Linked DNA regions of Oryzias latipes. The protein of the gene in region 2 purifies or fractionates together with the protein of the main gene of each other region. This does not show direct contact. Links are inferred from orthologs where the notes say so. Each region holds a gene or a part of one and is shown on either strand. Other genes may lie near its edges.

Region 1 (16,250 bases), on a different chromosome or scaffold from region 2:
TCAAAGGTTTGTTCAGAATATTATACTTTTACTGTAGAATTTCACTTTTATAGTCTGAAGTTTTGACTCAACAGCATATTTTTGACCCTTACCTTTATTTATTTAGTTAGTTTTTAAAATTCTCCATTTTGGCTAAAACGATTAAGACCGTCAGAATTTTCCGTTCACCACGTTTTTAGATTAAATTTAATAATTAATGCATCTAAAACAAAAAAATGAAGTTACCACTCTTCATTTCCAAACCCACTGATTAGAACTTGACGATCAATTCCAAAAAGTGATTCCGTTTATTGCATGCAGTTACCATGCGATGCAAACATTGCAGAAGACGTTCTCAGGGCTGCACTGGAGAGCATCGCTCACAGAAAGCCCCTCCAGGGTTCGTCTCCAGACCCCCACACTGCGATGGGTGATGTGGCGTCCCCTGGTGGGGCAGAGGCCTCCTGTGTCAGAGGCTGACACTAAGCAGCTTAGAGCTGGCAGCTATATTTACACAGTCATAATTATGTCATCATAGCTCTTCCTTAAACAGTGGGGGTTTTTTTATTCTGATGTTTGCATATCCAAAATGTACATATCTGGTTACCAACAACAAAATATTCACAGTAAGCTATCAAAATAGATATCATTTACTTTTCTCCCGCTGCTGTGAAGAACCTGTTTTCATGAAGTCATTTTCCTTTTTTGGAGAAATGCTACACAGACTACCAATAAAACAAAGAGTAGGAGCAATGCTAAATCAAGTACAGTTAATACACACTTGATTTCACGGAGGAGAAATCTGCAGAAGCTTCTACTCCATAACTGAAACAACAAAGAATCATCTAAAAAGGTCGTGTCGCACAGCCACTACGTATAATTAGCACATATTGCAGCGTACGGAGGAAAATTGGTCGTAACTGAATAACCCTTGTGCTATCTAGTGGGGTCCAGATGACCCCACCCTTACATTGACGTGTTCTCCCTACCATGACAAAGGTGGATAAAGGTGAAAAGACTTCATGTAATCCATGGACACCAGTGAAGATCACAAATCATTGATGAAAAAAGGTTCAGAGCACTGTCTAGTGGGTCTAGATGACCCCACCTCCAACGTTAACATTGGGAGTGGGGTCATCTGGACCAGAACACGTAAATCAACGTAGAACATGAACCGTGTGAGATTATTGCGCTGTTTACATGGCAATTTATTAGTGATTTGTGCATCGATTACATAATTTTAACATGAAATGTGCGCCGTATACGCGATAGGAAAGTTAGACGTCAGTTGTACATGCATGAAAAGTCTGTTAGACATACGTGGAGCGGTCGTGGGAATACACAAATTTGCGAACCACGCGTAAGTGTGTAAGCTTCACGTAATAATTAAACTACGTAAAATATGCGTAAACTGCATAATTCCACACCATCTGCGTGCATCGATGAATGACGAACCCAAGAAACACGAATGGATATCACGCCTGGATCACGAAAGACTCAAATTTCACACGTAGAAAATGCGCAAAATGTACGCAGTGGCTGTGTGACACGGCCTTGAAAGTCTTTGCCTACAATGCACTTGTTGCATACAGCCATATACCTCTTGGATATCTTGCACACAAATATTAAGAGAGCTTCAGAATCCATCAAAATAAAACACTAAAGAGAGTTTCACACAGGTCACTGAATCAGGTCAGACCTATAAGAATCAAGGTTTCATTTGGCAATACATTTCTTCCAGGAGTTCTGTAAGATTTTTTTTGGCAAATATATTTTTGCAACCAAACGTCATCTGCTGTGACTGTGGCAAAAGCCAGCTTCCATCCAACCCAGTACATAACAGTCCAGACAGTCTTTCATTGCACTTGTATCAGTTTGGCAGCATGCGTGACAGTTAGAAAAGCTCAAAAATAGAAATTGCACATTCGTCGGTTGGGCGTCCGTCTGCGTACCGTCACAGCTGGTCTCCAGCGGCTGTGTCTCCTCTCAGGGTCTGAGCGCCGTCATGCTGCTGCCTCGCACTAAGCAGGCAAGTGCCGCTTCAGGACGTCCTTGGCGTTGCCAGGCAACGCATCCGGAAAGTTCACGTCAAACTCCACCACCAGGTCGCCCCTCTGCTCCGGGTTTTTGGGCAAAGGTAGACCCTGTCCCGTCACCGTTTTTCTCAGGCCAGGCTTGATTACATCCGTGATTTTCATGTTGCATGTCTTCCCGTCTATTGTTGACACGGTGACCGAGCATCCACACAAGGACTGCAAAGTAAACAAAAGGACGCCCAGTTAGACAGTAGAAACACGCCTGTGGTCGTCTGCAGGTGAGAACTGAAATGCACGGAATAAAACCTTCAGCTATTGTCTTGACCCTAAACTATACGTTCTTCTGTATCAGCTGAAACTGTGTAAACAATGATTTATTTAAAAAACTACAGTATATCAAATGTAAAAAATAAATCTGCTAATAGCTTTTTCACTTGAAATATAAAATATATTTTAAAGGCCAAGTGTTATTTTACAGTGACGTAAAGTGTTTAGGAAACTGTATGTTTATTTATGGAGTGAGTTTTCTCTAAAGTCTGCATCACATCTCCTAAAAGACCCACACACCAATGAAAATTGTGCTTTTTTTCATGCTATTGTAGCATTTTCTGATGATGGAGGACATATATAAAGAAAGTTCAGATTAATTGCATTTCTGAGTATTTCTTTGTTGAATTTGTTGCGAATCTGGAGCAGAGGAAAACCCTGTTTGAAAAAGCTTATGTTTGTGATACAGCAACAGAAATTGGGGGGACCAAAGTCTTCCTGCTCTGCTGCATTCTGATCATCCACCTGCAGTCCAAAAGATCCATGAGCATCATTGTTTTCCTGGTCTGAGCTGGAATCTGGATCTGAACTGGACGCCTCGATAGCTCCAACATTGCTCGCCATTTTTGTTGCACCGCAAATGTTAGTTTGGGGGTGTGAGGGGCTGTAAGCTAGTGAGAGAGAGTGTAAACAAAGGGATAATGGGATGTAAGAGGAGGGTTACTTCCACCCAGCAGTCCTGCCCACAATCAGAGATGAACTCCTGCCACTCTGCAGAAACTATGTCTTAGAAAATGATACAGGTTTTTAGATTTTGGCTAGAAACCACATAATCATCATTGAAAAACCACTGGGAACGCTTTAAAAATAGATCAAAATATGATCGGAGTGGGGCTTCCATTCTAGATGATGGGCGTGGGTTAAAATAATCATGGGGGAGTCGAATCATGCGTTGGGTTTGAGGTGTCACAGTCCAATGGAAAGGTGAAAGCCTTCATAGATGACATGTTTTTAGACGTTAGCAGGAAACTGTTAGGGTATGACTTAGTTTTTCTACAGCATAATCACTTTAGACCCATTACAAAGCAGATATGTATTTAATAGTCTCCTTTTATACTTTTTTGCAATGTATAATTACTTGTACTGATCTGGAGCTACAGCAGTGTTACTGTGACAAAGCTGTGATCTGACATTTCTCAAGCATCTTGAAGCTTCTTTATCATCAGATGTTATTTGTGGAGAGCTGTTTCTCACGAGAACTTGATGGAATCTGTCTCCTCCATTTGTCTAGATACAAAGGTCCAAGTGTGAGTGCTGCACTCTTGACCTGTGTGATGATGATGAGACTGTCAGAGTTTGAGGCTACACCGCTTTGCACTGTTGTGCTCAAACTAACCTCAACAATCATCATCAGGTCATTTGTCTGCTCTAGACTGCCTTATCTTTTAGTTTAACTGTTTCTTATTCCGGTTCAAACTTTTGGAAAACAAAGGAAAACCTCTGACAGTGAAACGACCTGAAACTCTCGTCTCGGTCTACAGTTTCACCGTTGCCGTCATGGTGACGGATAGTTTTTTTGGGTGTGTTTCACTGCGGGAATGGGCTGATCTTGTGTGGTTAGCGTGCGGCGATCAGACATTCAGAGACGAGGCTGTGAAATTTCTCACTGAGAGCCGAGGAGAGTGGGAGGAACCAGAAAAGTACATGTTGCGTGTGGGCGACCGTCGCCTTGCAAGGGTCGTGAAGATCCCATTCCTCCATGTGGATGATGTCGGTTGCATAAGTGTTTGTGTGTAGATCAGCACTATGTTCATTCAGTACGGGGTTTGAGGTAGACTTCCTCCGGTTTATTGATTGTAACGCAGCTGTTTGGCGTCCAAAGCTTGGAGCTTTGTTCTCCACTCAAAGTGAACTTGCTCATAAACTCGCCGATATGACGAATCCATGTACCAGACTGAAATAGAACTAACGCACCTGTCTTAAGCTCACACGAACAGGATACACGATGTTGGAGCCCTCTCGCCTGAAGTGCGGGTGAGGTTTGTCCTTGATGACGAAGACGATGTCAGCGGGAATGGTGTTGGGCGACTCGTCGCCTTCCCGTGGGAATGTGATCTTTGTCCCCTCCTTCCAGCCTCTCTTGATCTCAATGGTGAGGATCTTATCCTCCGTTCGCATGGTCCTGCCGTCTGGGTTCAGCCTTTTGCGGGAGATTTTCATTCTCTTGGTGCAGCCGTGGAAGACTTCTTCCAGGGTGACCCTCAGTTCATGCACGATGGGGGGGTCTTGCTTCCGACGCTGCTGCCCGCCAAGGCCCACGTGGCCGTCCCGAGGGAAGCCGTTCATGTTGAAGCTGGTGAAGGAGCCAAAGGGGTCGTTCCCATCCACATCCATGTCCTCGTCGTCTCGTCCGTTGGCTTTGCGCCCAAAGAACATCTCGAAAGGGTTGGAGCCACCAAAAAAAGTGGCAAAGGTGGCATGAGGGTCTCCATGGAAGGTGTAGGTGAAGTTGGTGCCCTGTCCATCGCCAGCCGGAGCACTTCCACCCTTCAGACCTGATGGACAACACAAGTTAGTCATCAGTATCGTGACACAGAGGAGATAATGTGTCACAATGCAACAACAGGCTGTAAATGTGAGGATGCAACGAACTGAATGCAACAAATCCACGAGCAGCTCTGTTAAATTACAAAATTACAGGAAAAAAACTGTTGTTCTGACAGTTTTTTCACATTTGAAAATGTGTCTTGTGTTTGCTTGTCATTTACCATTTATCTGAGAGCTTAGTCATGTGATCCGGACTTCTAGTACAGTTTTTCTCCAAAGAAGATCTGCAGTCTCCAATAAAGTTGGTGAGGAGGAGTAAAGCTTTGGATCTCTCAGACGGTTTCACTTTATGAAGTTAACAGTAGATCGATGATACCTCTGATGGTAAAATATGCTGAAAGATATGTCTTTTCTCAGAGGTTAAACTATGATCAATTATCCTACGGTAAGTTTAATGGAAAACAACAATGACTTGGACTTTGACGGTGTGTTCAGACTGAAAAAAGTCCATTGGTCCAGATCGAGCCCTGAAGTTTGCACTTAGTCTGTATTCAGACTGCCGTCTACTGTACTTTCCTGTTTTGACCACCTTGAGAGATGGGTCCGAGAGCGGTTTCTGCTCCCGGACCAGGGGCCGGTTGGGTATGACCATAATGAAAATTTATTCTGGATTTTCGGGGGAAACAAACTCTGGTTCACTTTAAGCGAACCAAATGTCCAGTCTGAATACAGTCTTAGATATATAAGGGGAAGACTAGACCTCTTCACCCACTTAAACACCTTTTTCTCCTGCCAGGTTGATCATAAAGTGAGGGCCTTTGAAACAAAACAAAATCTGAGAAAATTCTTGCGGCCGTGTCACAGTTTTTTCTCGCATATTGCACGGATGAAAATTGGTCATACGTGAAAAGATTGAGAAAGTTGTGGTCTTTATGTGAAATTTTCACAGATGTATCAAAAATGAATCACCCTAAAACCGAAGAGGGAGTACGAATGAACCACGCAAATAACACGTAAAATCGACGTAAAAGCCAAACCTGGCCCAAAATTCATGTGTCAATTACATATTTTTAACATGAAATGTGCGCCATACACGCAATATGAAAGTTACACATCGGTGGTTCATGCGTGAAAAATCTGTTAGACATTCGTGGAACGGTTGTGGAAAGACACAAATTTGCATATGCATCTCGCAAAAATCACGCACAATTGCGTAAGATTTGCGTAATAATTAAACAACAGTAAATGGGCGGCCGTGGTGCAGCGGTAGGGCGGTCGACCCATAATTGTAATATTCCGCGTTCGATTCCCGCCTTGCACGCCCATGAGTCGAAGTGTCCTTGGGCAAGACACTGAACCCCACCTTGCCTCTGGTGGGAGGTTGGTGCCAGTGTGTGAATGTGTGTGTGAGCATGGGTGAATGGGACTGTGACTGTTAAGCGCTTTGGGCCTTTGAAAGAAGGTAGAAAGCACTATATAAGTATACGCCATTCTATGTAAGTATACGCCAAACAGTGTAAATCTCAACCGCCCGAAAATTTTGAATAGCTCAAAACCAAATTCACCCAAAGACCGTCAGCTGAAACCGACGGACATCTATGCACATCGACGAACGCAAGAAGCACTTATGAATGACGAATGTCCTGAATGTGTCACGAAAGACCGAAATTTCATACGAGGAAAATCAGGAAAAAGTATGTAGCGGCTGTATGACACGGTCTTTAGATTGTAACCAACTTTACATCGTTAATCCCAGTAACCCTTATGCTATCCTGTGGGGTCCAGATGACCCCACCCTAATTGACATGTTCTCCCTACTATGACAAAGGTGGATAAAGGTGGAAGGATTTCATGTAATCCATGGACACCAGTGAAGATCACAAAAGAAGAAAAAAGGTTCAGTCATCTGGACCCCAAAAGACAGGTATTGGCTTGCTCAGCGCAAGAAGATAGCACAAGGGTTATAAAATAAAAAATACTTAAAGAAACTATAGATTTGGCTACATTTAATCCTGCCTTCATCCTGAATCCCACACATCTAAAAGCATTTCTGTGGATCTTTGAAAGGTGATGGTGTCAAAACCACACAGTAGGTTGCTCTTCTTCCTCCATCCACACTTCTGTGGTAACCATGGCAATAGTGGAAAAGCATTCCTTTCTTAAAGGGATGCAGATGGTGCATTTCAAAACCATCTATTGAGGCTAAAAATGTGGCCTGTAAAGGTAACTTGAGTGTAAATCGTGTGATGCTGATATGATTCTAGTGAAAATGGTGGAATGTCACTCATTAATGATGGAAAGACATTTCCAGACCCATTAAAGACATGACTCATCTTCTGACTCAGGCAGATTAGTTCTTCAGTGTCAGCATCCATACCTGATTTTCACAGATAATCAGCGGTTTGTCATCACCCTTTGACGTAATAAAATAAAAGTGAAAATAAAATATTAAAGTGATAAAATATGAAAAAAGTCATAGTTAAAGAATAGGGACAAGAATAAAGCACTTCATGCTTCAAAAATGGGTGCAGAACTCAGCTGTGGGTCGTTTTTATATTTAAAAAAATAAGAAGCATGAAGCCAAACCCTCAATAACTGCAGAGAGCTGTGGTACAGTGGTCTGCCGAACAGCTGTTTTCTGGATTTCCCCTGACACTGAGGGACTCGAACTGAAGCCAACTGTGCTTTTGGCCCAGCCATCCACATGCATCACCATGACCTGAAGGGGGGATTTGGGGGCCAATCTGGCAACTCAGAGGGAGAAAGGGCGATAAACGGCGTGAACGTTACCTTCCTCTCCATACTGATCATAAATGTCCCTTTTCTTAGGGTCGCTCAGGACTTCGTAGGCTTCAGCGACCTCCTTAAATTTCTCATCGGCGTTTGCAGACTTGTTTTTGTCCGGATGCCATTTCAGCGCTTGTTTTCTGTAAGCTTTCTTGATATCCTCGTCCGTGGCTCCTTTAGAGATCCCCAGCGTCTTATAATAATCTTTACCCATCTTTTAAAAAAGGAAACAAACAAAAATCACACAGAAATATCAAATAAAAATCGGAATCGCCCCGCAGAGCAGTTGCTTCTGGCCCGGCTCGATGATGATCGATGCTCTTCACAGCCAAAGTGTCGACGTTAAATCAGCGCAGGGCAGAGACGGAGCGCGAGATGAGGGGCATTTGGGGGCGCTTGAGTCAACGTCATGGACCCTCTGTTATTTATCCGCGACTGGACGACCCTCTTTAAATAGACACGGCTGCCCTCCCTGCATCCACAGCGCCAAAGTCAAGCTGCACGTGAACCACGACATCCCATTTCCGGTGATTCCTGTTAGCCGTTAGCTCGGACTTTAACTGCGTACTAAAATGTTGAAAATGTAAATTTATACTCATATATATTTTTTTTCACTTTTTAAAACTGTTTCAATATGTTTAATTCGTTTTTTTAAATAAAAAAATAAAACATTTCAATACATTATACATAAAACCTTCTAATTCATTAGTTTGCAGAAATGTCACTTTCTTTCATTCATAGAGAGAAACAGTTTTAATAACAGTTTGTTGAATTGGACGTGTCCGCTCGGACCGCTCCCGACTGTGACGCTTTCGTCCATCAAATCACTTTTATTTTGACAGTGTATTTCCGGTGGACTCTATTTGAGAGACGGAAGTTGATCTGGAATTGAGCGGCTCTTTCTGGAAAGCAAATGCTGATGAAGCTCGTCATCCTCTATAAAGGGGCCCTTTACACCCCGCACAGGTGAAAAGTGAACAAAAAAAGACCTGCTTTATCTTCTTGACATCACAATAGAAAACCAAGGCAGGACACCCCACATCCCCCACAACCCCATATGGACAAAATGTATACCTTTGGTAAACTTTCACCTGAAACAGTTACTCATCTATTTTAGCATTGCCCCCTTTACTCAATCTTCTGGGCAAATTTTCTGTGATTTCTTTTGTTACAAATCTGCTTGTGTTGTTTGGCTTCCGCCATCACAGGAATATGCCAATCCGATTTTTAAGAAATACATTCATCTTCCTGGCTAAATTTTACTTTCATTAATGCAAATTTTCTAACAAAATTCCAACGTTTTCTTAACTTTAGTGGAGGTCAAACTATATTGAAACTTTTCATTTTTCAAACAACAAAAAAGCTAGAAAATATTCAAATTCCAATTCTGCAATGTTTTTTCATTCTTACTTCTATATACTCATTGTGTGATTTTGTCTGTTTGTTCCTACCCCTGGCTCCTTATGTTGTTTATTTTATTGTGATTTATTTTATATTATTGATATGTTTGTATTGATTTACAATGTATAATAATAGTTTTGAACTGAAACTGACATTTATAATAAAGTTAGAAAATAAAAAATCCCCAATATCCCAGAACCCCAAGTGCCCCAACAAGATGTTACTATCTAACATTTAATAAAAAATGCCTATAAACATTTAAACTGTGCATTGTAAAATGTAATCCACGTGTATCTTGTTATGTTGTGATGAACCTTGTGATGAACGTCTGATAAACTATCAGTGTATTATTTTCTGTATTTTATTTACATCTGTTCTTCTAAGCTATTTATCATCTTTGTGCAAATGTATAGATGAAAGCCATAAGCCTACAGTTTTTTTGGCGGTCCCTTTTAATTGTGCAAAAGAATAAAAATCAAATCAACCCTTAGATAACTTACCAGAAAAGCCACGCTTGCATATATCAAATCAAATCAAATCTAACTTTTTTTGGATAGCACTTTTCCAACTTGTGTTACTCAAAGTGCTTTACATAAAAAACCTAATTGATTTATAAAAACAAAAAGCAAGACACTGCACAAAAAATATGCATAAAACCAGTGTGATGCACAGAGGAGCACCGAGAGGAAATCATCCGCAAGAAGCTTCGTGTCTTTGGGAGGCGTCCCCCCCTTCTGCAGAGGATCAATAAGGACAAACTGTCCTGTTAAGGTCTGTGAGTACTTTTCCCCCAGCAGTTGAATGTATCCAAGAAGAGAGGCAACGGAGAAACGAGTATTAAAAACATGATCAGGGGCCCTTACTCCCGGAGGAAAGGTCTCCCCCTGGACTTGCACAACATCTGTCAGGGTCTGACAGGAAAGACCCCAACCTTGGAATCACGTTGTTACTACTGTTCTTTGTTCTTGTTCATTATGAGAGTTGAACAGTCAATAAGTTATCTATATTTTGAAACGTGCATTTTTTTCCAGAGTGATGAAAGGTATTAAAGTTATTTATTTTAATGTTAATGGACTCACAAATCCTAATAAGCGTAGCAGAGTGCAAACTAAGATGAAGAAAGAGCAAGCACAAGTGGTGTATTTATAAGAAACCCACATAAATGATAGGGAACATTAAAAATGAAAGAAAATGGGCTTTACAAATATGTTTTTCTCCTCATACAAATCTGGCGAGGCGTGGCAATCCTAATCTCAAAAAATTTAAACTTTGAAAAGTCTTTTGAGATTAAGGATAAAGAAGGTAGGTTTGTTTTCGTGCGGGGAACGATAGACGGTAATCTAGTCTCATTCGTGAATGCATATGCACCACCAGGAAGCGACTTGAGTTTCTTTAAAAATATTATGAACATAATTGGAAACAGAAACCCAATGTCTATTGATTTGTGGTGCAGACCTAAACATCAGACTAAGGCCTGACTTGGATAGTTCTAGTGGGTGACTACAAGAACCAAATACTTTATATTAAAAAGTCTGCAATCTTAGAGAAGGTTGGTTTGATAGACATATGGAGAGATCTTTTCCTTATAAGGAGAGACTACTCTCATTACTCGGCCCCACACTAACTTTATACCAGAACAGATTATTTCCTAACTTTTGGGAAAGTTAAAGATAGAATTCAAAGATTTGAAATGGGATGAATAGACATAAGCGATCATGCACCATTATATCTAACTATTCATTTAAACACATGCCCAAAATTATCCACTTGGAAATTAAATTCATCCTTGCTCAAAGACATAAATATTTAAAAAATAATGATAAAAGAAATGACAGATTTTCTTAAATCAAATGATAATGGAGAAGTGTCATTTTCAATACTATGGGACACATTAAAAGCTGTCAGAAGAGGGAAAATTATATCAATCGCCTCCCATAGGAAGAAAACACGTAATAGAAAGGCTGAAGAATTACAAAAGAAGTTGACACAATTAGAAAGTGAACATAAAAAAACCCTTTAACAAGCACGCTGAAACAATTAAAAGAAGTTAGAAATGAAATAACTAATCTTAGTACGCAAGACATAAAGAAAAAAAGAATGTATTTGAAACAGAACTACTACGAAGGTGGATCCAAATCAATGAAAATTTTAGCATGGAAACTGAAAAAGAAAATTGCTGACAGCACTGTTAGCAAAATCAAACATCCAGAAACTTGAAACATTATAACCAAGTAAAGTGAGATGCATGGAGCATTTGAAGCATTTTACAAACAATTGTACTCCAAAGTACCTGGTAGGACTGAGGACGAGATTGATTTTCTTAATTCCATAAACCTACCAACTCTGAACGATCAACAAAATAAGAAAATGACAGCAGAGGTCACATGAATGGAACTCAGGAAAGCCATAAGTTGTTTGAAAACCAATGTCACCGGATTCTGATGGCTTTACGGCAGAGTGGTATAAGGAGTTTAAAGATGAGTTGGCCCCTTTAATGCTTCTTGCATTTAACTGGGTGTTAAAGAAATCACAAATACTACCAAGTTGGAATGAAACCATTATTTCTGCCATCTGAGTGTGGCTCATATAGACCGATCTCTGTCCTTAATATAGATTACAGGCTGTTTAGCTCAATTATGGCCAGGTGAATGGAGGAATCTTTACCCAGTCCGATATGTAACGACCAGACTGGATTCATAAGAAACAGGCAGACACAAGATATTATAATATAATAGAGCAGATAAAACATCTAAAAATAAAGCTATAGACGCGGAAAAGGCATTTGACTCAGTAAATTGGGATTTTCTGTATAAAGCATTGACTAAATTTGGATTGCATAACACAGTTGTTGAAACAGTGAAGGCTCTGTATGCCAATCCCACAGCAAGAGTTAAAGTTAATGGTTATCTCTCAAACAGCTTTACAATCCAGAGAGGAAATAAACAAGGTTGTGCCTGGTCTCCACTTTTATTTGCCTCATATTTAGAGCCGCTGGCACAATCAAATAGACAAAGCAAAGACATCAAAGGAGTAAATATTCAAGGACAGGAACACAAACTTGCGTGTTACTCAGATTGTATTTTAATATATTTGTATTTTAATATATAAAAACCTACAAAATCTTTACCTGAACTGATGAATCTGTGCAGAAAATGTGGAAACCTATCTGGGTATAAAATGAATATGGATAAAACTCAAATACTTGCTTACAACTGCTGCCCACCAGCAGTTTTGGCGATGCAATAACCGATGATATGGCTGACAAAATCAATAAAATATTTAGGTGTAAACATACCCAAAAACCTGACCAAATTATATGAGGAAAATCACATCCCATTACAAAAAAAGATAGTTGAGGATGTAAAACGTTGGAACTTGATCCCCTTTTTCACTTTATTTTCCCGAATTGAATCCATCAAAATGAATATTCTACCGAGACTACTTTACCTTTTCCAGACGCTACCAATACATATCCCTCAAAACCAATTTAATAAATGGGACAAAATCATTTTATGATTCATATGGGGAGGTAAAAGACCCAGATTCGCCTTAAAACGCTTCAATTACATAAAAATGAAGGAGGATGGAGCCTGCCTTCTCTAAAGGATTATTTTCGGGCAGCTCAAATGAAGACGGTGATTAACTGGTGTGATGTGAACTATAAAGCTAAATGGAAAGACATGTTGGAGAATATACTCACTATTCCCATACAAACAGTCCTGGTGGACTCAAATACCCAAAAACAAATTGACAATGTCTGTAATCCATGGTTTAAGTGTACACTCTCTTTATGGAAAAACGTAGTTAAAGAATTAAAACCAGAACGCTCATTATTCAAACGGTATGCCCACGATTCTAATTTTGCTCCAACTAAATTGGATTTTCATTCTAAATATTGTTCTGCCAAAGGGTTACTAATTTGGAGGTTTGATTAAAGATGGCAAGGTTACTCGTTTTGAAATGTTGAAAGAAAAATGCAGTTTTGAAAAGCAGGACCATAAAAACATTTATAAACCAATAAGAGAACTTTATAATTGATCCGGAATCGCACAACGAGCAATGCAGCGATTTTAAAATCGGTGTAATGTGTTCCTGCCCCCTGATCCTCGTCAACACGCATGCGGCTGAGTTTGACATGAGAGGAGGGCATTGCAATAAACTAATTTGCTTGAAATAAAAGCATGCATTAGAACCTCTGTGCTGGCAAGAGAGAGAAATGGGCGGACTCTGGCAACATTTTTAAGATGATAAAATCCTGTCTTTGTTGTATTTTCAATTTGTGGTATAAAATTGATCTCAGAGTCGAAAATAACTCCCAGGTTTCTCACACACTGAGAAGTTTTGTCATTTTTGTCATGTCACCACACTGCTCCCCGTTGGCTTTATCCCTCCTCCTAACCCACAATGTATTGATGGACAGACACCTTCCGCTCATCTTCGTGTCAGAATTTCACCTTTGATGTTATATTTGCCTTTCCAGCAGATCTGGTATAATTGTTACACAGCTTAAAATAGTGACTTATTCAAATCAGCGATTGTATCCCCCACATTCTCCACCTCTCCTCCTTTTATTCTCTTCCACCCCCCTCACACTCTTCCTCTCTCCCTCCCCACACACACTAAACGTAACAAAGAAATAAAAAAGTAACAAAAAGGGGTTTATACAAATTTACACTCTGGTTTTTTGAAGTTATATAACCTCTTTTTGTGATAGTAAAACCTGTCCAACACAAAAGGCCTTCAGCTCTAATCTGTTTGCTGAGCTGTTGGACATAAGTTAAAAAAAAAGAAAAAAAAGAAGAATTTTTGTCATTTTTTAGTTTAGATTAAACAGTCTCCCTCAGAACTGATGACTGACACCTCTGTTTTGTCCTGGTTAAACTGTAAGAAGATTTCTGCCATTCATGACTGCATTTCTAAAATGCAATTTAAAAGAATGTTGACGGACTCTTCATCATCAAGAAACAATGAACCTTGGGGGACTCCACAGTTGATTTCAAAGACCTTTGAAGAGGATGTATCCATAATCTGCGATCTGTGAGATGGGAGTAAAACCACTTTAGTGCGGTACCAGAGATGCTCAAACCTCTCAGCCTGTTGAGTAAAATACTGTGATCTACTGTGTCAAATGCAGCAGTCAGATCCAGTAGTACCAGGACTGAGAGTGTCTGACAGTCCAGGTTACATCTAATACTTTTTTATTAAGGGCTGTCTCTGTGCTGTGGCTTCTCCTAAAACCACATTGATACATTTCAAAGATGTTATTTCTATTTAAAAACTCATTAAACTGGATTGGAACTGTGTTTTTCAATCATTTTACTTCAAAACGGTAAGTTGGATACTGGACGATAACTGTGATAGTTGCTTGGATCTAAATTACTCTTCTTCAGAAGAGGCCTCACCACTGCCGTTTTAAAGGCAGCAGGGAAGACACCTGTCTGAAGAGAGTAATTTACAATGTTTAAAAGCTCAAACTCAAAGAAGTCGTCAAGTGTTTTTAACAGTGATGTGGGGATTGGGTCTAAAAGGCAGGTGGTTGGCTTTAACTGGGAGAACACTTGACCAAGTACCACGGCATCAACCAGAACAAAACTCTCTAGTGTTTCCTCTGGTAAATAAAATGCCAGAGATTCATTCAAAGCAACACCTTTTTGAGTTAAGAGACTGGATCTTATAGCATTTATTTTACTCCTGAAGTGGTCTGCAAACTATCACATGTAGCATCCGATGCTGCTGTGGAGGACCTTTGAGAGTCTCTTTTTGTAAGAATATCTGTTGTTTCAAAAAGAACTTTAGGGTCATTTTCATTGTGTACAATCAAGTCGGAGGAGGGGGAGATTCTAGCTTTTTTATTGCATGACTGTAAATTGTTTGTTGTTCTTTAAACATTTCTTCATGTTCAGTTAATTTAGTTTTCCTCCACCTCCTCTCTGCCCTCCTGCATTCACGTTTCATGGTCTGATTGTTTCCTTCCTCCAGGGTGCTGTAGCTTTAGTTTTTGTTATAAGTGGAGCTACAGGATCAATGGCTGACTTTAATTTTTTGTTAAAATGTTCATCCACTGAATCCCAGGATGCAGGTAAAATCTGAGCCGGAGCTTGATGTCAAATATTGATCAAATTTGCAGCCACATCAATATTTATGTATCATTTCCTCACAGTTCTCACTGGAGCTTCCTGTAAAGTAAAACTGGTGACTAGTGACTACGGTGGTACAAACTTTGAAGAATGTTAAAACCCAAATATGGCAGTTAGGATTTGAAGAATTGCTTTAAATTGGTATAAAAAATTGGTTAGAATTAAAATTTTAGGAATGGTTAAAAAGTGTTGACACAGTCAGGACCATAAATATTTGGACAGAGACACATTCTTTCTAATTTAGTTTCTGTACATTACCACAGTGAATTTTAAATAAAACAACTCAGATGCCATAGAAGCGCAGACTTTCAGCTTTTATTCCATGGGTTGTACAAAAAGATTGCAGAAAAATGTGAAAAACTAAATTATTTTTTAAACATAATCCCTTCATTTAATGGGCTCGTAAGTAATTGGACAAATGAAATAACTGAAAACCAAATAGTCATTCCTAATATTTGGTTGAAAACCCTTTGTTGTCAATGACAGCCTGAAGTCTTGAACTCATGCACATCAGGGGCCTCATTTATAAAACTTTGCGTAGGCATTGCGTCAGAAGTGGCGTACGGATGAAACATAGGATGTGCGTACGCACAGAAATATTCGGATTTATAAAACCGTGCACACGCACATCCTACGCATCTTTCCCTTTATAAATCACAATCAGTTCTAAATGCAGTGCAGCTTTTGCGGCCTCATGACACGCCCATAGTTGCCCATAAATAGTCCGTGAAACGCCCACAAATGAATATTCATTGATTGCGAAACCATGCCAAACACAGAGAGGAAATCAAAAAAACGTAACTTCACTCAATGTGAAGTAGAAGTTATCGTTGGCGAGGTGGAAAAGAGGAGAAAAGTGTTGTTTGGAGGGCACAGTGTGGGCATTACTAATGCCAAAAAGGCACGTGAGTGGCAGACACCGTAATGCTGTAGCCTCACAACCTCGGACCGTGGCCGAAATAAAAAAGAAATGGTTGGACATCAAAGTCGAGGCATAAAAAGCGTCTAGTGCTGCATCGCCAGATTGTGTCTGTCACCGGGGGGGGGGCACCGGAGCGCCAGATGCACCGAGTGACACATGTGGTTCCTCCGAGTG
Region 2 (15,765 bases):
GAAAATGATTTGCGTGGCAGAGCTTTGATGTTAAGTCAGGGGTACAGGCGGGTCTGAGGTCCTGAGGCGTTTTGGTAATCCTCCTTACAAGGAAAGAAATAACACGGAATCTGGACGAAAACGTTTGGATTGAAAATCAATCTCCATTTTAAAACACAACATTTGAGGTTTATGTTTTTGTTCTGATTTTAGAACCAATTGCACCAAATGCTGCGTTCTGTGGTGTTTGAATGATCGGAAGAATAAAAAACCAACAAATCTTCCGAAGCCACATGGATGCTGGAGCCGCGGTCTCTAAACTTTTCCTTGTGAGGACCACAGAACCTTTTAATATTTATTTTATAATATTAGACTTATTTTCTCTTTCTTTTATGGTGAAGCCCTTTGCTGAAGGAGTTGTAAATTGCTACGTGAATAAAGTTTCATTTATTCTGTTTCCTGCACGCCTGTTTTTCATCTCGTAGAAAGTGAAAAAATAGTCTAATGCTCTTGTCTTCTGATCAGGCACGTGCACTCAAAGGGCCCTAGGGGTGCATGAGCACCTGCCCTTTTTGCATCGGATTAAAAACCTCTGATTTCTTTTTTAACATGAATACATTTCTGTTAGAGATACGAGAAAAAATTGTGGCTACAAGCCCCCCGGTTCTTGTAAAATGGGGGCTCTGAGCTGCCTCTTCTGTCTTTGCGGCCCCGCTCGGACTCAGAGCCTCCAAAGAGACAAACTGCTGAAGAGACGTGACAGTGAAGGGACTCGAACCTGTGACTTCTGGTCTTGTCGCCGTTCACTGATTCAATGAGCTTAAAGATGGTTTATATTTCAGAAAAATGCTCTATAGTAGTCACTTTTTACTTTACGTCTGAACGGCGCATCAGTTCAACAGAGCAGATGCTGCAGGAACAGGAAGCTGGGTACTAAATACAAAATAAAACACCGGGTGGATTTTCAAAATAAATGAACAGAATTTATGGGGGGTTCATAGCTTCCTGAGTTCAAGTCTGACACTAAACTTGTGTGTTTAACGTTTTCTGATTGGATTTGCCTTCTATAAACTCTGCATCATTCAGTTTCACCATCTTTCTGTGTTAAAACCTTTCCCGTCACAACAAATTCCTGTGTTTAGAGGATCAGATGAGAATTTAGCTGTGAATCCCAACATAGAACCGGAGTCACACTGGATCCAGGCAGTTCTACATTAACGGACTCCCTGGGCGAGTAAACCCCCCAGAGCACACACACACAATTTGACGAAATCCTTTTGTGTTTCCTATTTTTGTTTGCCAATTTTACTCCAAAAATGCGTGACTTTTACAAACTGGCATTACAGGGGGGGTCAAACTCAGACACACAGGGGGCCTAAATCCAAAACATGCTTTATGTTTAAGGCCGAACAAGAGAAACATTTACTGAACACACTTGAGCTAAACTTTTAAACCTCTAGAACTGAACTTTGTGAACATAAATATGAATAAATATGAATCCAGAACAAATTAAGTTAAACCTTAAATGACGTATAATAGTTTGTTCCATAAAAATGTATTTTCTCCATAGTATACAAATATGAACATGCTGCAAAACAAAACAAGCAAAGCCTGGAAATATTGATAATAAGAAATAATAAATCAAATCAATCAGTTTTCTTTGCTCTTTTGTCATTTTTTTACAGCCGGACTCCCGGCGTCATTTTTAGCAAAAAGGTCATTTCTGCTTAAAATGAATGACGAATGTAACAAAAGGAGACTCGCTGTCAACGGTGGTAAATCACAAATAAAGTCATTTTCAAATCTATTTTGGTAAAACTACTGGTATGTTTACTGACACTTGTTTTTTTTTTTATGTTCTCAGCAGGTGGAAGTCGGGCGCTTTAAAGGAGAGGAGGAAAGACTGTGTGGTCTGTGAGCGGCACTGGTGGAGGATGAAGTTTCTGTTTTATTGTCTTTTGTATGAAAGGGCCAGTTCAGCTCGTGCTGGTTTGCGGCGCCTTCCGTCCGTGAAACCAGGGTTCGAATCCGGGCTGCTCCCTGTTCCCTTCTCTGCTTCTGTGCCGGTCCCAAGCCCGGATAAATTGAGAGGGTTGCGTCAGGAAGGGCAGCCGGTGTAAAACATTGCCAAGTTATCCATGCGACTCATCCTCGAAAGAGAGGTTGTTTCGCCATGGCGACCCCTGATGGGAAAAGCCGAAAGAGGATTGACTTTTGTATGAAAACACAGATTTTGTTTATCTGAGGTAATAAAAAAGACTTGTCCTGATTTGCTTCGGTTATCTGAAGGTAGAATTTCACATTGGCTTTTTTTCATTATTAAAATGATCATTTTATTGATGGAATGTCCTTAGCTAAGATGATCAGATGGAGTCTGCAGAGCGTGACACGTGAACGGCTGACCACTCTGCCCCCGTGCCGCAGCAGGACGACCGGCTGAGAAAACCACTCACTTGTTATAACTTGCATGGTGTTTTCTGTTTTTGTCCAGGAAGCTTTTGTAAAACACGGCCATCTCTTCACTGCTCAGACTCCGCCGTCTTCCTGAAGGAAACCAGAAGAGATTTGGATCAGCAGCAGATCGCCGGCAGATCTTTCTGATCCGTTTCCATCCACGACTTTTCCAAAAACCCAGAAGGCCCAGCAGGAAGGAAAGCCTGCATGTCCTCACCGTCCACGTCTCGCAGAGTCAGGCCTTTCCCCGCCAGCTGGGAAACCACGAAAGCTTCTTTTTCCTGGGAAAGAATGACAACATCGTTCAGAGCTTCTGCTTTTTTAAGTGCTAATCTGACGATGAAAGCCATAATGAAATTGCCAACCCCTCAGTGTTTTTACAGTACGTCTCAGAAAAAACAACAACAAAACACATGACTGAGCAGAAAGCTGACAGCAGTTTCTGCAGGAACGAACTCAACTCATTTGAAAACTCCAATGCCCCGTAAATGACACGAAACGGAACACACCACTGCAACATTTTATTTCTAATGTCTGGTTTTTATGGATTCAAACTCAGCACGTTTCCTTTCGCTGTGTTTGTACCAGACTTTTTCCACACAAAACACTTTTAGTAAAACTTGGTTTTCAGAAACTCTGACCTGCTAAAAGCTATGATCCCCTTTCTTCAGATATTTTTACACACAAATAATTTGCAGAAGATAGAGCCATGCAAGTAAATTTCTCTAAAACTGATCATTTTAAAATTTTACTGAGCACAACGCTGACTGTTTTCTGGGTTTTGTTAAATGCATTTAAAGACTAGTGATGCTTTTGGATGCTCTGCAGAAATCCTGTGCAGGAAGCGCGTTGCTGCCCTCTGGTGGTGAATCTCAAATACCGACACACACAGGACAAAATAACTGATTTAAAAAACCAGCAGTGTCACTCAAGTCCTGCTCTTCTTTATTTATTATATGTAAGGTTTTCACAATATTGTTATTCACTGATAAAATGAGTTAAAGTGCTTTTTAAAGTGAGCGGCCCAGAGGAACGTCAAATCGGTGTTTTGTTTGCTTTAACACAAGCATCAGTTTTCCTGATGCTGGTTTTTAGGAGCGACTGCTGTCAGTCCAGCCATGTTGGACCCCGTTGTGTGGGGGAGGACGTTTTAACCGAGGAAGGACGTGTCACGTGTCCTGCAGCTCCCACCGATGCCGAGATGTTCCTGAATGCATGTCGGGAAACGAGGAACCTGAAAACCTCGTCTGGACAGGATGGCACACTTGTAAAAAATGTTGGTTTCAACCTGGCTGAAGTTGAGGTTCTGCTGGGTCCAGAACTTGTGGTTCCAGTCCTCCGTCTCCTGCCTCAGGTTTCTCAGCCTCTTTTCCAGCTCCGACTCCTCCTCAGGGATGCGGTAGATGATCGGCCGCAGGTTGGACAGCGGGTTCGGGGGGCCGATCCAGTCATGTGTAGAGCTGGGCTCCGGTCTCAAAGGTGTCCGCTGAAAAATGGAAATATGAACAATAATTAAACGTATTTACTAAGAACAGATGGACTGCAAACCGCAGTCCCATGCCCACATCCTAATGTTTGCAGCATTTGTCCAAAGATGGACTTTACAAGTGACCAAAAAAATGTAAAAAAAAAAAAGAAAATAAAACACCAGAAAAAGGTGTTCGTTTAACCCTGGAGAACCCAGCAACCATTTTTTTTTCAGGGCTTTTAAAGGTAATTAAGCAAATTTGATTTTGTTTCTTCATTTTGGAAAGCAGCAATTAACAGCAACCAAAAAAAACTTCAAATGAAAACCTAAAAATAAAGGAAAAACTAGAGAGAAAAAGAAATAAATAAAAACCATAGAGCTAAAGTTGATCCTGTGGATTCCCCCAGAGTTAAAAACACAGAGACAAGTCAAAAAGATAACTAACAATGAATTAATTTGTCCCACCAGATCGATCTGTCTGAGCCAAGAGGGTAATCAATTCCAATTGACCTCTACCATTAAAAAAATCGTTAAAATCGATTATATTGATCTTGGAAAATACCATTTAGATTGAGGTACAGTAGGTTTATTTGACTATAAGGTCAAACCGCCCAATCACAGCAACACACATGTGATGTCATTAACACGGATCAGTCCATCATTCCAGTCCAATGTGTGGACAGACTTTGAATAAAGTCATGCGACCATCCAGTGTCTAGAATGTTCTAAGAATGTTCCCTTTGGATTCTTTGGATGTGGAAAAACAACAGTGGAGAACTTTAGGAGAAGATCAACCAACAACTGTTTGCTTTTTTCAGGAAACTCTTTTTCAAAGAGGGCCAACTATTCAATGCATTAAAAGCAAATAAACTATGAACATTATTATGGCAATTGGACTCTTCCTATTTCTTCACATAAAAGAGAATTCTATCTAAATACATTTGTACATGAATTTCTGATTAGAAGGCCAGACTTAAAATCCAGAATAGGTCTGCAGCTTTGATGGCCCTTTGGAGCCAGCGCAGTCTGAGGGTTTTTGATGGGACGGCCCCCCAGGCATGATGCAGAGGGAACCAGAGGACTCCAGAAAACCCATTTTAACCGGGCCAAAGCATGTGAACGCATCTAAGAATAACCAACAGAATCCATCAGACTCTGGCGCTTCAGGTTCCTACGGTTTGGGGCTGAGGTGGGTCAGCAGGAGGCCCTGCAGGAGGGCAGCAGGAGGGATGCAGGAGGCCCTGCAGGAGGGATGCAGGAGGCCCTGCAGTCTAACTGGAGGCATCTGCTTATCAGTGCAGAGCAGACGGCAGCAGGAGAAGAGCACGGAGGAGAGCAGGCATGAGGAGAGCAGGGAGGAGGAAGACTCCATCCAGGACCCAGAGGCCTGAAAAAAGGTGCGTTATGACATCACTACCTTCAGCTGCAGAAGTCTTTGGACTTTCTTCATCATTACGGTTACATTTACTACAGTGAATCAGAAACATTAGCCCAAACAAACCCACTGACAGCTGTTACAGATGGGTTCTACTGGTGTCTTTTGATTCTCGCAGCCTTTCTGTGAGGATCTAGAGCCGTTAAATGAAACTTCAGAACCAGATGACGTGAAAATCTCTCATGGTTGCTGATGAAAAGCCTGTCCGTTAGGCCTAAGCAGCACTAAACATAGAAGGAGTTGGTTAAAGCCATGTTTAGTTCAGCCAGTCAGTAACCTGCAGGTCAATTAGACTTTTTGGCTGTGCAGACCTAGTGCGCATGCGTCGTTATCTTGGTTTTCACAGCAGGATCAGAACCTCAGCGTTTCTGATTCCTCCGGTAATGTGAGCACGGAGCCTGGGATAAAAACACCAACGCGGAACGGACTGCGGCGGCGCGCGCACCTTGGCGGCTTTATCCTGTTGGCTCGTTGGATTATTAGAGCCGTTGCGCCGGATGTTTACATCCAGCAGTTGCACGCGGGAGTTCCGCGCGCTCCTCCACGACAAGCGTCCAGCTGCCCCGAATGTCATTCCCGCAAAATCAAGGCACTGTCACGCAGAAAAGCTAAACACGCAACGGTGGCGAACAACCCATGTCTCCCAACTGTATGTCCTTCCGCGAGGATGTAGGACAGGTGGTCACGTGAGCTGCAAAAAACGGCTAGAGACGCTCGGAAACAGCACCTTCGCAAGCCGTTAGTCAAGTCTCTGCCCGACGGGTTCGGAGCAGATGAGGTTTCAAACTAAACTCTAAATAAAACATATTTCTAGAAAGATACTGTCAAAACTTTTCATCGCAAAAGCTTCAAGTACCAAAGCTACAAACTACGTTTTGAGTACGTTATTTAAAAACACTGCTATATTTATGTTTTATCAGAAGCGATAACGAAATAAAACATAAACAAAACGGGTCGAGTTTGTCTCCGCACAGAGTTGGTGATTAAATGGAGCGCACTCGCTGTTGGCCGACAACAACCTTCCCTGCGTCTGAACTGATAAAAGCTTCATTATTAAACGAGATAATGACCAACAAGATTAACCAAAGTGTTAGGAATGTGTACAGATATAGTTGTAGCTGTTGGTTACACTCAGAGATTGAAATATTGATTAAAATACGAAGTGGGAGGGTAGATTCAGCGAAACAATCGAACTCCGTGAAACTATAGTGGCGAGGCTGAGACGGGAAAGTAAGTCCGTGAAGGTGCAGCTAGGCGGGCTAATGTTGATCTTCAACAGAAGGTTTGGGGCTTTTCCTTCGCAGCGGGGTACATGGCTGTTCGCTGGTTATGCAGGTAAGACTGGGGCGGTTCAACGGCGGGTAGATGCCGGCGTAAAGCCGCAGTTTATGCGGTCAAGGTGGGGCAGAGTCAGTCAGGTGATCACCGACAGCTCACAACGGTGTTAACGGGCTGGAAAAAGACCCGGTGGTGGGATTTCATCTTTCGAAGTCAAATATCTGCGCGTGTAGGTCAAGTGTTTGGGGTTTTTTTTATTTTAAAAGAAGGGGGGGGGGGGGGGGGACAAAACCATGTTTGCAGACGTAGTGGCTTAGAGGTGGGAGGGGCGACAGCCGCCGGACTGCAGGCGGGCGGGCAGAGTCTGTCTGCTGGTCGCCGGAGCATCGCGACACCTCCGCGGGCTCCTGTCTGCGCACGCGGCTGCTCCCCAGCTTCGCCGGCCGCCTGCTTTCTGCTGATGGAAACAGACATCTCTCAGAATGTGCGCGAACGTGTTCGGAGTCCTGAAGAGGTGAGGCGGCGTCAGGGCGGGGCGGGGGGGCTGGTTCGGCTTCACGCTCGTCCGCCCGCAGAGCCAGCGGCCACGCAGGGTTTCCCGCGGGGGACTAGCGTTGGCGGGGCGGCTGTTGAACCGCGTCCGGTTCGGGTTCCGAACGGCCGCGTGCGCCTCAGAGGCCCTCTCTGGCTGCTGTAACCAAACGGAGGCGCGCGCTGATTGGCCGTCCGCGCGGGGACTGGACTCCGATTATCCTAATAAATGCTGAGATTTGGCAGCTTTCCCCTCTGGAAATGTCCAGCCCTCTTACATAAACCCGCTTTAGAGGAGGCCCAGCATAATCTGGTTTTGTTAATACGCGTTATTGTTGCCGCGGGAGGAAAAGGTTGCGGCCGCTTCGCTTGTGTGCAGCAGTGATGCTCGCGCGTGTCCGTGCATGTGGTGGAAAACCTGACATCTAATCTATTGAGCTGTTTTCTCCTCATCAGAGGGAATCCAGAACCTCAAATGCATGAGGCCAGAGTCAGAGGACTGCATGTGGGTCTCATTCTGGGGGGAAACTCCTCAGGATGGATGGTTTTACATTTCCATTCAGCTCAAATGCCCTCGTGTACCGTGAAGGTCAGAGGTCACCGACCTGAGGCTCCTGCATCCTCCACTCTGGCTCTTTAGCTGTGAAGAAAGATGCTAATGAGTTGAATAAATAACAGTTTTGGTCCATTTAGTCAATTTTTTCGTCATTTCGGTTTAGTCTTTAATATGTGTAGTAAAGTGTAGACGATTGTCAAAGTTGTTTATTGTTAGAATAAACTTGAAGCCCATTTTCTGATCTTCTGCTGCACAGTGGTTGCAGATCAAATTCTTAAAGGATAGAACTGCATTTACATGTATAGATTTAAATAAAAGAATTCTTCACCAATCCTGTCATATTTATATTTAATGACGAAAGGGGGAAAAAGATGATGGTGCCCTAAAATCATGGTGATAGAAAAGATCATGTTTGATTTGACTTTCTTGTTCTGTTTTTTTTTTTATTCCACTGAATCATGTTGCAGCAGGAAGATCTCTTTTATAACACAGGGTGTATTTTATTTTGAAGGGAACTTGCATGTGCTGCTGTCCAACAGAAGCAAAAAAAAAATAATGTCCACGTTTGTAGAACATTATTATTGGAAATATTTCAAAGCTGCAGTTTATACATGAATGGCTTAATGGTCATAAATAAAATGTCGTTTTGGGTTTCGGTCTGTAAGAAACCGGTCCAAATGGCTCTTTTAGGGTCAAAGGTCACAGACCCCAGGATCTATCTTCAGCTAAATATTCCACTAAAGCCATGCTTTGTAAGTGTTGAGGAGCTTTCATACTCGGCTTGGTGCATTGCTGACCGTACCATTCTGCCGCAGCAGACGAAGCAACGCTTGTCTGTCTTCGTCATCGTCTTCGCGGCTGCAGCTTTGGCCTAAACGGAGACGTTAAAAGGCGAGGAGACGGCTCTCACGCGGTTCTCTTCTGTCGGTGAGCGTCTACAGACGTGTACCAGCAGCTCACGTCTGTATGTTGGGAAGCCTCGTTCTGCCACTTGATCATCATCCTTTTCTGCTTCTCAGTCAATGTTGTTCTCGCTTTTGTGTGGAAAGACGGAACTCCTCGCTCCATCATTTTAAAGTTGATTGATCTGGTCCAAGCACCTAAAATAAAGAAGACCAACTACCTTCTCTAAAGCTGACGTTTAGACTGTTGTCCTCTCCGTTTTTTGGAGCAGCTCTTTGCTTTGACACAACTGACGGACCTGTCTCAGTCGAAAACAGACAGTTACACCAATAAAATCACGAATCCCTACTTTCTGCTTGCTACTCGCTAGCGGTCACATGTTTGAGAACACCCACTAGTTCAAGGTGGTCCGGTTCAGGTGAAAGCCTGCGGTGGAACAACAGGAAGCGGTTTAAAGTAAAGCTGAAGTGTAAACATTTTAGAAGGACAAAAAGATCCTTTGGTTGGAACAAGCTACTGATGAAGACTTTAAGCAGCTCTGGAGCCACCGTGATGCCAAACGCTCATGAGCAACAGCAATGTTCAGCTGAAATAAGTGGGTCGTTTAAAAAAAAAAAAAGGGAATTCTTAATGAAACAGAGCATCCAAACACTGAAAAATGTGGGTCCTGCTAGCTGAGAGGGAGGGTAAAGGGAGTCGATGAGGACCGCTTCCTTTCCCGCCAAGAGTCTCCGCTGCAAGCCCCGCCCCCAGGCTGACACACACACACTTTCTCCGTGGAGCTAGCATTTTTTTTGCGCGAAGCGCAGACACGCTGGCGAGGCCGGCCTTATGACGACGTCATGAAATGGGCGGCACCCCCAATGAGAGAGAGGCGGAGCCTCAGAGATCGGTCGTCTTACTTCAGAGTAGGAAAATGAGCTGTGAGAAAACTCCTATCTCCTAAAAATGGTTCTTTAGTGTGCCAAAGGTCATATATGATCTCATATGATGTAGTTTACTCTGACAGGATCAAGAATAACCCGGTTTAGACCTTTTAGCACATCTGCTAAAGAATGCCTCCACTGTGTGGGACCATGTCAAACATGGAGGAGTAGGTGTGATGATGTGGGGCTGATTAGCTGTGGTTGTGAAGTAGCTGCAGAGCAAAGACCAAAGTAGTAAACATGGAGGGGCCAGAACCGTCTCTAGACTTAAACCTCTCTGAACTGGTTTGGGATGAACCGGACAGAACGGTGAAGGCAAAGCAAACTAAGGAAGGATTTTTCTTTTCATTTCTATCTGTTCATCTTTGAAATCAAAGTTGATTTTAGTCTGTTTGAAACTCATATGTATTTTTTACTCTCCTCTGATTGCAGAGTAAAAAGCCATGACAGTAAATAGGAAACTGGACGTATTAGAGTGTTGCAAAACGTTGCTTCGGGGCTGTTTTTGCTGCTGCCGGCCACCAACGGCTTATTGATCTGATTTCCTTTGTGTTTTCTCCAGCTTGTTTGGGAAGCCCTTTGATGGAGGGAAAAGGATGGACCATGGCGGCCCGCCGGAGCCGCAGCAGCAGCCGTACTATTCCCAGCACCCTGCCATGATGAAGCTGTACGAGGTCCAGAAAGAGGTGCAGTCGTCTCTGGGGCCTCAGGTCTGCACCTTCAGTGGCCTCCAGAACGACCGGGAATACAAGCGTTTGGAGCGGGAGCTGACCCGCCTGCTGTTGGAGGTGGACCAGGTTGACACAGAGGGCAAACCGGATCTGCAAGGGACGAGAAAGAGGGCTGCGCAGGAGGTGGAGGGTCTTCTGCGCTACCTGGAAGAGAACGCCACCCACCCGTCCCGTCTGGCCATCGAGGAGCTGAGCAACGCTGCGCGGCAGCTGGTTGAGGAGCGCGTGGTGGCCCCTCAGCGGGCTGGCGGCGTCTCCGAGATCACAGATGAGCTGGTCGATGCTCTCCAAGAGCTGGTGCTGAGACTCACCCAGATCAAAACGGAGGGGCGAGTGCCGCTTCGCAAAGCTCGCTACAGGGCGCTCACGCGCCTGTGCGCCGTGCAGGATGTGCTGGAAAGCCGCACGCAGCATCAGACCCTGCCCCTGCCGCTGTCGGGGGAAACCCACGAGGCGGTGCACTGCATCAACCAGGTGATGGTGAAGGTGAGCGTTGCTCGCAGTCAGCTCGTGGCTCTGCTGATGGGGCTGAGTGGGCGGGACAGCTGTGCCCACCTGTCGCGCATCTTGACGGAGCTGCAGGTGGAGCTGGACGCTCTGGACGTCTCCGGAAACGCCGCGATCAGAAATTACAGGAAGCAGGTTGTGGAGGAAATAAATGGACTTCTGAAACATCTGGACCTGGAGGGAGAGGGAGAAGACACGCGCAGGTGAGCATTCCACAAAACCCTACGGAATAAGTGTCCACCGTTAGGGGAGTCCCTGGAAGATAGAAAACACCCTGATGAGGAACCATCGCTCTAGTTCTGCTAATCCAGAGTTCTTCATCGTGCAGAACGTTCACAAATGTGGGATGGATCTCATCGTCTGCAGGGACTCTGCTGCTGCTGCAGGGTTTAAAGAAAATAAGGTTTCTGGGATCTTAACATGTTCTTGTGCCATTTTTTTGTTCTGATTGGGGACAAATATAAAGAAAATTAAGCGGAAATTGGCATTTCTGAATATTTGTTTATTAGGTGCCACAGTCAGCCGACCGCAGTCTCCTGGCTCCGCCCCTTTCTGATCACCCACCTGCAGACAGACAGATCCATGAACGTCTTTTTTTTCCCGGTCTGAGCCTGAATCTGGATCAGAACTGGACGGATGGATAGCTATGATGTTGATCGCCACTAATGTTAGGTTGGGGTTGTGAGGGGCTGTGTGCTAACAGGAAAGCGTGTAAACAAAGGGATGATGGGAAATGAGGATAGGCTTACTCCATGCCAACAACTCAGAGGTGAATTTCTGATGAACTCCTGCCGCTCTGCAGAAACTGTCCTAGAAAACAGCAGGGTTTTCTTTCCTCCCAATTTTGGATAAAAATGACATCATCATAATGAAAAGACTGCTGGGAACACTTAGAAAATAGATCAGAAGATGATCGGAGTGGGACTTTAACCACCTCCACCAGAACATAGTCGCCAATTCTGAGCTGGCTGACACAAACCAGAGCCACAGTATGATCGTCCAGTCGCTCTACAACATGTAGACGACAAGCGTGGTCGTCCTCCTTCAGCTTGATGACATCTGTCAGTTCATGCAACTATCCATAGATGATGAAGGAACCCTGGAGGACTTCATCCCACCTAGATGTTGAGAGGCCGTGATGGCTGCATGTTATGTCGATGATGTTGTCCTCTGTCTTCAAACAAAGACGTGGTCCTTCCCAGCAGCCTCAGGGTTTTGAGAGTTAAGGTCAAACTAAAGCCGTGTTTCCACTGAGCGGTCGGGTTTCAATGGTCCAGGCCGTTCGGGTGAGCCTCGGGTCGTCACGCTAACAACAACAGAGGAGGTCATCCAGCCGCTCATCCTTGGTTCTTTTGTATCTACAAAGCAGTTAATGTTGTGAGAGAGAAGATCGCGGGCGGCGAAGAGGTTGGCGCTGGTTTGACGACCCACAGCCAGACAATGGTTTCAGAAGCTCCGCCCTAACCCAAAATGTTATGGGTCGGTCTGATGGCTCCATTTTATAATGGAAAGGCTGAAAATACTGGACCGGCCCGCTCAGTGGAAACCGGGCTTATATGTTGTCAGAGTTGCTGCAGACTCTCATCGTTGGGGTTTTGTGTCCCTGCAGGTACGATTTGGCGCAGAACAACTCCATCCGTGAGATAGAGGCTGTGCGGGCTCACGTCTCCCACTTGCGAGAGGGGGTCCTGCGACACTGTGCCATGGGAGACCTCGGGTTCAGACCCAAAGCTGAACTGCAGAGCCTTCTCACACACCTGGACCAAGTGGACACGGCCAAGAACCCCTGCATCCGGGAGGCCCGGCGGCGCGCTGTGGTGGAGGTCCAGGCTATCATCACTTTCCTGGACCTGCGCGAGGCTTTAGCTTGCCGCCTCACCGGCCCTGACGAGCATCCGTCCCATCGCGCCGTGTGGCTGGTCCTGGGGAGCCTCTCTGACCTCCAGGCGCAGGTGCTGGGCTTCGACGGCAAGAGGGCCGACAAGAGCTACATGATCCTAGAGGAGATGCTGACCAAGCAGCTGCTGGCGCTGGACGCCGTGGACGCACAGGGCGACGAGATGACCAAAGCGGCGCGGAAACAGGCGGTGAAGTTCGCCCAGAACATTCTCAACTACCTGGACATGAAGACGGACGAGTGGGAGTATTGATCCGGTGCCGGGGGGGCGTGGCTGCGGGAGGGAAAGCAGCTGTTTGTAAATAAAAATAGTAGATTTCACGTAGTGTCTAAAATCCCCAGAATGCACTGCTGCAGCGCTTTCCTTTCATCCTCGTGTGACCATGGCCAGCACGGGACTTGTTTTGTGAAGCGCTGGGTGGCGCTTTTGTGCGCTTGTGTTGTGTGTGGTTGTTGAAAACCTGCTGACTGACAGACGGAAGGCTGGCGGTTCCTCCGCAGATGTCCTGTGGCGTGCGCTGCAGGTGGCGGCGGCGTACGCTCAGCTCAGAGGACAGCGGTCCGCTGGCCTCTGGAGAAGGGGTTCGGGTTTGTGACTGATCACAGACTCCATTTGCCCCTCAGTTTCCTCCAGGTACCCGGCTATTCTTTTTAGGAGCAGATGGCGGTTTGTTAGTGTGAATTAAGGGATTTGTCCTGCTTTGTATGATCACACCAGTCTATAAATGGACGGGCTTTGAATCCAGAGAGGCGGAGGAAGCGAGGCGGCGTTGCTGCTTCTCTCATCACAGTCCCTGCAGGAAGCAGCAGAGAGGGCAGCGCTGATCTCCTCTGAACTGACGTATCCAGGCTGAAGCTCCCGCAGCCGACAGGCCGGTCCTGTGGAGGGAGGTGCTGATGGGGATCACAGCTGACAGGAAGTGCTAGAGCTGGGAGATCGTGGGAGGGGAGGGAGGTCCTGAAATGGGAATCTCGGTGCCTTTATTTTGGTTTCTTTTGCTTTGCGTCCATGCGCAGCGGAGAGGCCGCTTTGCTCGTCATCTGCACAGGAAATTAGCCGCTGTCTGGAGCAGAGGCTGCTCCTCCTTCCTGTGGCGAGGTCGTGGTGGGTCATTAGTAGCTGAAGTGACGCTCATCAGGAACAGCGTGACTCCCGGCGCTCTGACACGGCGCCGACGCCAGCGGGAAACGTCAGACCTTTAGTCAGAAACGCAGAACAGACCCTTCTTCCTCACCCTGACCTCTGTGGCTGAGGCGGGTCTCAAAAGGTCTCCTGCTACCGGACCAGAAAGATGTGAGCAGCTCAGAGGTGACGGTGCTGCTCTGCTGTTTTTGGCAGGACTCTCCAGAGTCCGTCCCTGAACGTTCTTCTGCTGTCGGACGGAATCAGAAGCAGCGCTTTGCTGCCGCACACAGAAAAGTCGGTGACGTTTCCCAACCGCTCTCGGATAACGCTTCCCCTTAGTGCAGACTCTCAGAAGAGGATTCCTCCAATGACAACTCCAAACTATCAACACCTTCTAGCAGTTTAGTGGAATTTTTGGGCTTTTCTGATCATTTTAAATGCATTCGAATGAATACATTTATCAAGCACTGTGGTAAAACCATCAGTTGTGGAAATCAAGTGAGTTTTTGACAGATTCAGTTTTATTTCTTCAGCCCTAAATTCCAACAATGGGCTTCATAATTCTAAAGGATCATGAAGTCAGTCATTAAATATCTTAGGTAACTGCTAAACTACAGTCAACTGGGCCTCCAGAAAACAGATTCTGGGACAAACAGAAGAAACCTCAGGGTGTCACCATGAATATGGACTCTGACTCCTGAAGGTGCGAGCGCTTTTCCGGCGTCCTGCCGCTCTGCCCGCCGTGTGGCCGCCACGCTTTCCTGCTGAGCTGAATGAAGGACTTGCTGCTGCTGCTCATGTCTGACCGGGAAGAATGTCCTGACACACGACCGTGTGTGCCGCATCAGAACGTCCAGGCCGGGGGTCAGCAGACTGGATGCTGGACTCTAACAGTTGGCTTTACCGTTTTCTGTAATTGACTTTTACCCACAAAGCTCCACATCAGTTTGTTTGTGTGGTCATCTAAGCGTTTGGCACATTGAAATCTTAATATTTTGGGGGGGAATGACTGAAAGACTTCGTTCCTCCTGTTTTTTATTTTTTTATCTGGGTGTTTTTCCAATCCTCTGGTTTCATAGAGTTGACTCAGCAGCTGCTGCTTCTGATCCTTTTTTTTTTTGTGTTATCTTCTTCTGAAACGAGTGTAACGTGAAGGACGGGCCTTCAGGAGCGGCTGGTAGAAACGAAGGTCCAGTGAAATCGGCAGGTGATTCCCACAGGTGAGCTGAAGGTTCAACTGACACACACAGACTGACTGAGCTTACGTTTACTGTTACTTCATATATTTATGATGCTCATGTTGGTGGTATTTATACAGATTGTGGTTTCAGAGCAAACAGAACTCACTTCCTCACCCAGACTGCAGAGTTTCTCCACAGCTCGCTGTTGCCGGGCAGATTTGACCTCGGGACAGTTGAGTCCATTAGACCTTGTGCTATCTTGTGGGGTCCAGATGACCCCACTCCCAATCTGAACGTGGTTGGAGGCAGTAGAAGGAGCCGATGGGCCTTCACAGGACATGAATGGAGTCCTTCCAGAAGGTCTGTCTGCGTAGCAAAGTGAGCTGAGATGAAAACTCAGAGGTGAAAAGAGACGAGGCTTTGGCAGATTGGGATTCTGTCGTCTGGAGGACAGGAGACGAGCCGACGCCTACAGATGGTTTGGTGACCTTCTCCCAGACTTCTCATGTCATGCGTTGTTACACGAGCAACACAAACATGAACGGTGGAAAAAGAACACGTGTGTGAGGTTTGTGTCACTTCCAGATGTGGGATTTTCTGGGTTTTTCTTCAGGTGGGGGTTTGATTCCTGGCCGCAAAGCCCCACATGAAAAGCCTGGAAATGTTTGAGTTGGTCCCTCTGCTTCATTAAATATTGTACAGAAGGAGCCGGATGGTTGCAAACCTCCTTCCTTCAAACCGTGTTGTGTTCCCAGCATTCATTGCATCTTTCTTCATCCCCGTCCGTCTGCGG

Evidence for each region.
Region 1: the proteins of bag5 (region 2) and dnajb4 purify together in Homo sapiens (affinity purification with mass spectrometry; 4 studies listed by BioGRID and IntAct, with this or other methods). This does not show direct contact. The link is inferred for Oryzias latipes from reciprocal best matches to the Homo sapiens genes BAG5 and DNAJB4.

The regions. Positions count from the first base shown.
Region 1 is NC_019875.2:4,276,909-4,293,158, reverse strand, and holds dnajb4 (dnaJ homolog subfamily B member 4), read right to left. Parts: upstream 8,134-16,250; 5' UTR 7,831-8,133; coding exon 7,620-7,830; intron 4,838-7,619; coding exon 4,257-4,837; intron 2,232-4,256; coding exon 2,001-2,231; 3' UTR 1,734-2,000; downstream 1-1,733. UniProt on the Homo sapiens protein: Probable chaperone. Stimulates ATP hydrolysis and the folding of unfolded proteins mediated by HSPA1A/B (in vitro).
Region 2 is NC_019880.2:21,264,564-21,280,328, forward strand, and holds the start of bag5 (BAG family molecular chaperone regulator 5), read left to right. Parts: upstream 1-4,603; 5' UTR 4,604-5,242; coding exon 5,243-5,298; intron 5,299-5,781; coding exon of another isoform or gene 5,782-5,910; exon of another isoform or gene 5,911-6,029; intron 6,030-6,164; exon of another isoform or gene 6,165-6,648; coding exon of another isoform or gene 6,649-6,671; intron 6,672-6,929; exon of another isoform or gene 6,930-7,096; coding exon of another isoform or gene 7,097-7,128; intron 7,129-10,092; coding exon 10,093-10,971; intron 10,972-12,377; coding exon 12,378-12,918; 3' UTR 12,919-15,765. Other genes in the region: apopt1 (apoptogenic protein 1, mitochondrial), read right to left, coding at 2,433-2,523, 2,651-2,714, 3,722-3,919, 5,782-5,910. UniProt on the Homo sapiens protein: Co-chaperone for HSP/HSP70 proteins. It functions as a nucleotide-exchange factor promoting the release of ADP from HSP70, thereby activating HSP70-mediated protein refolding.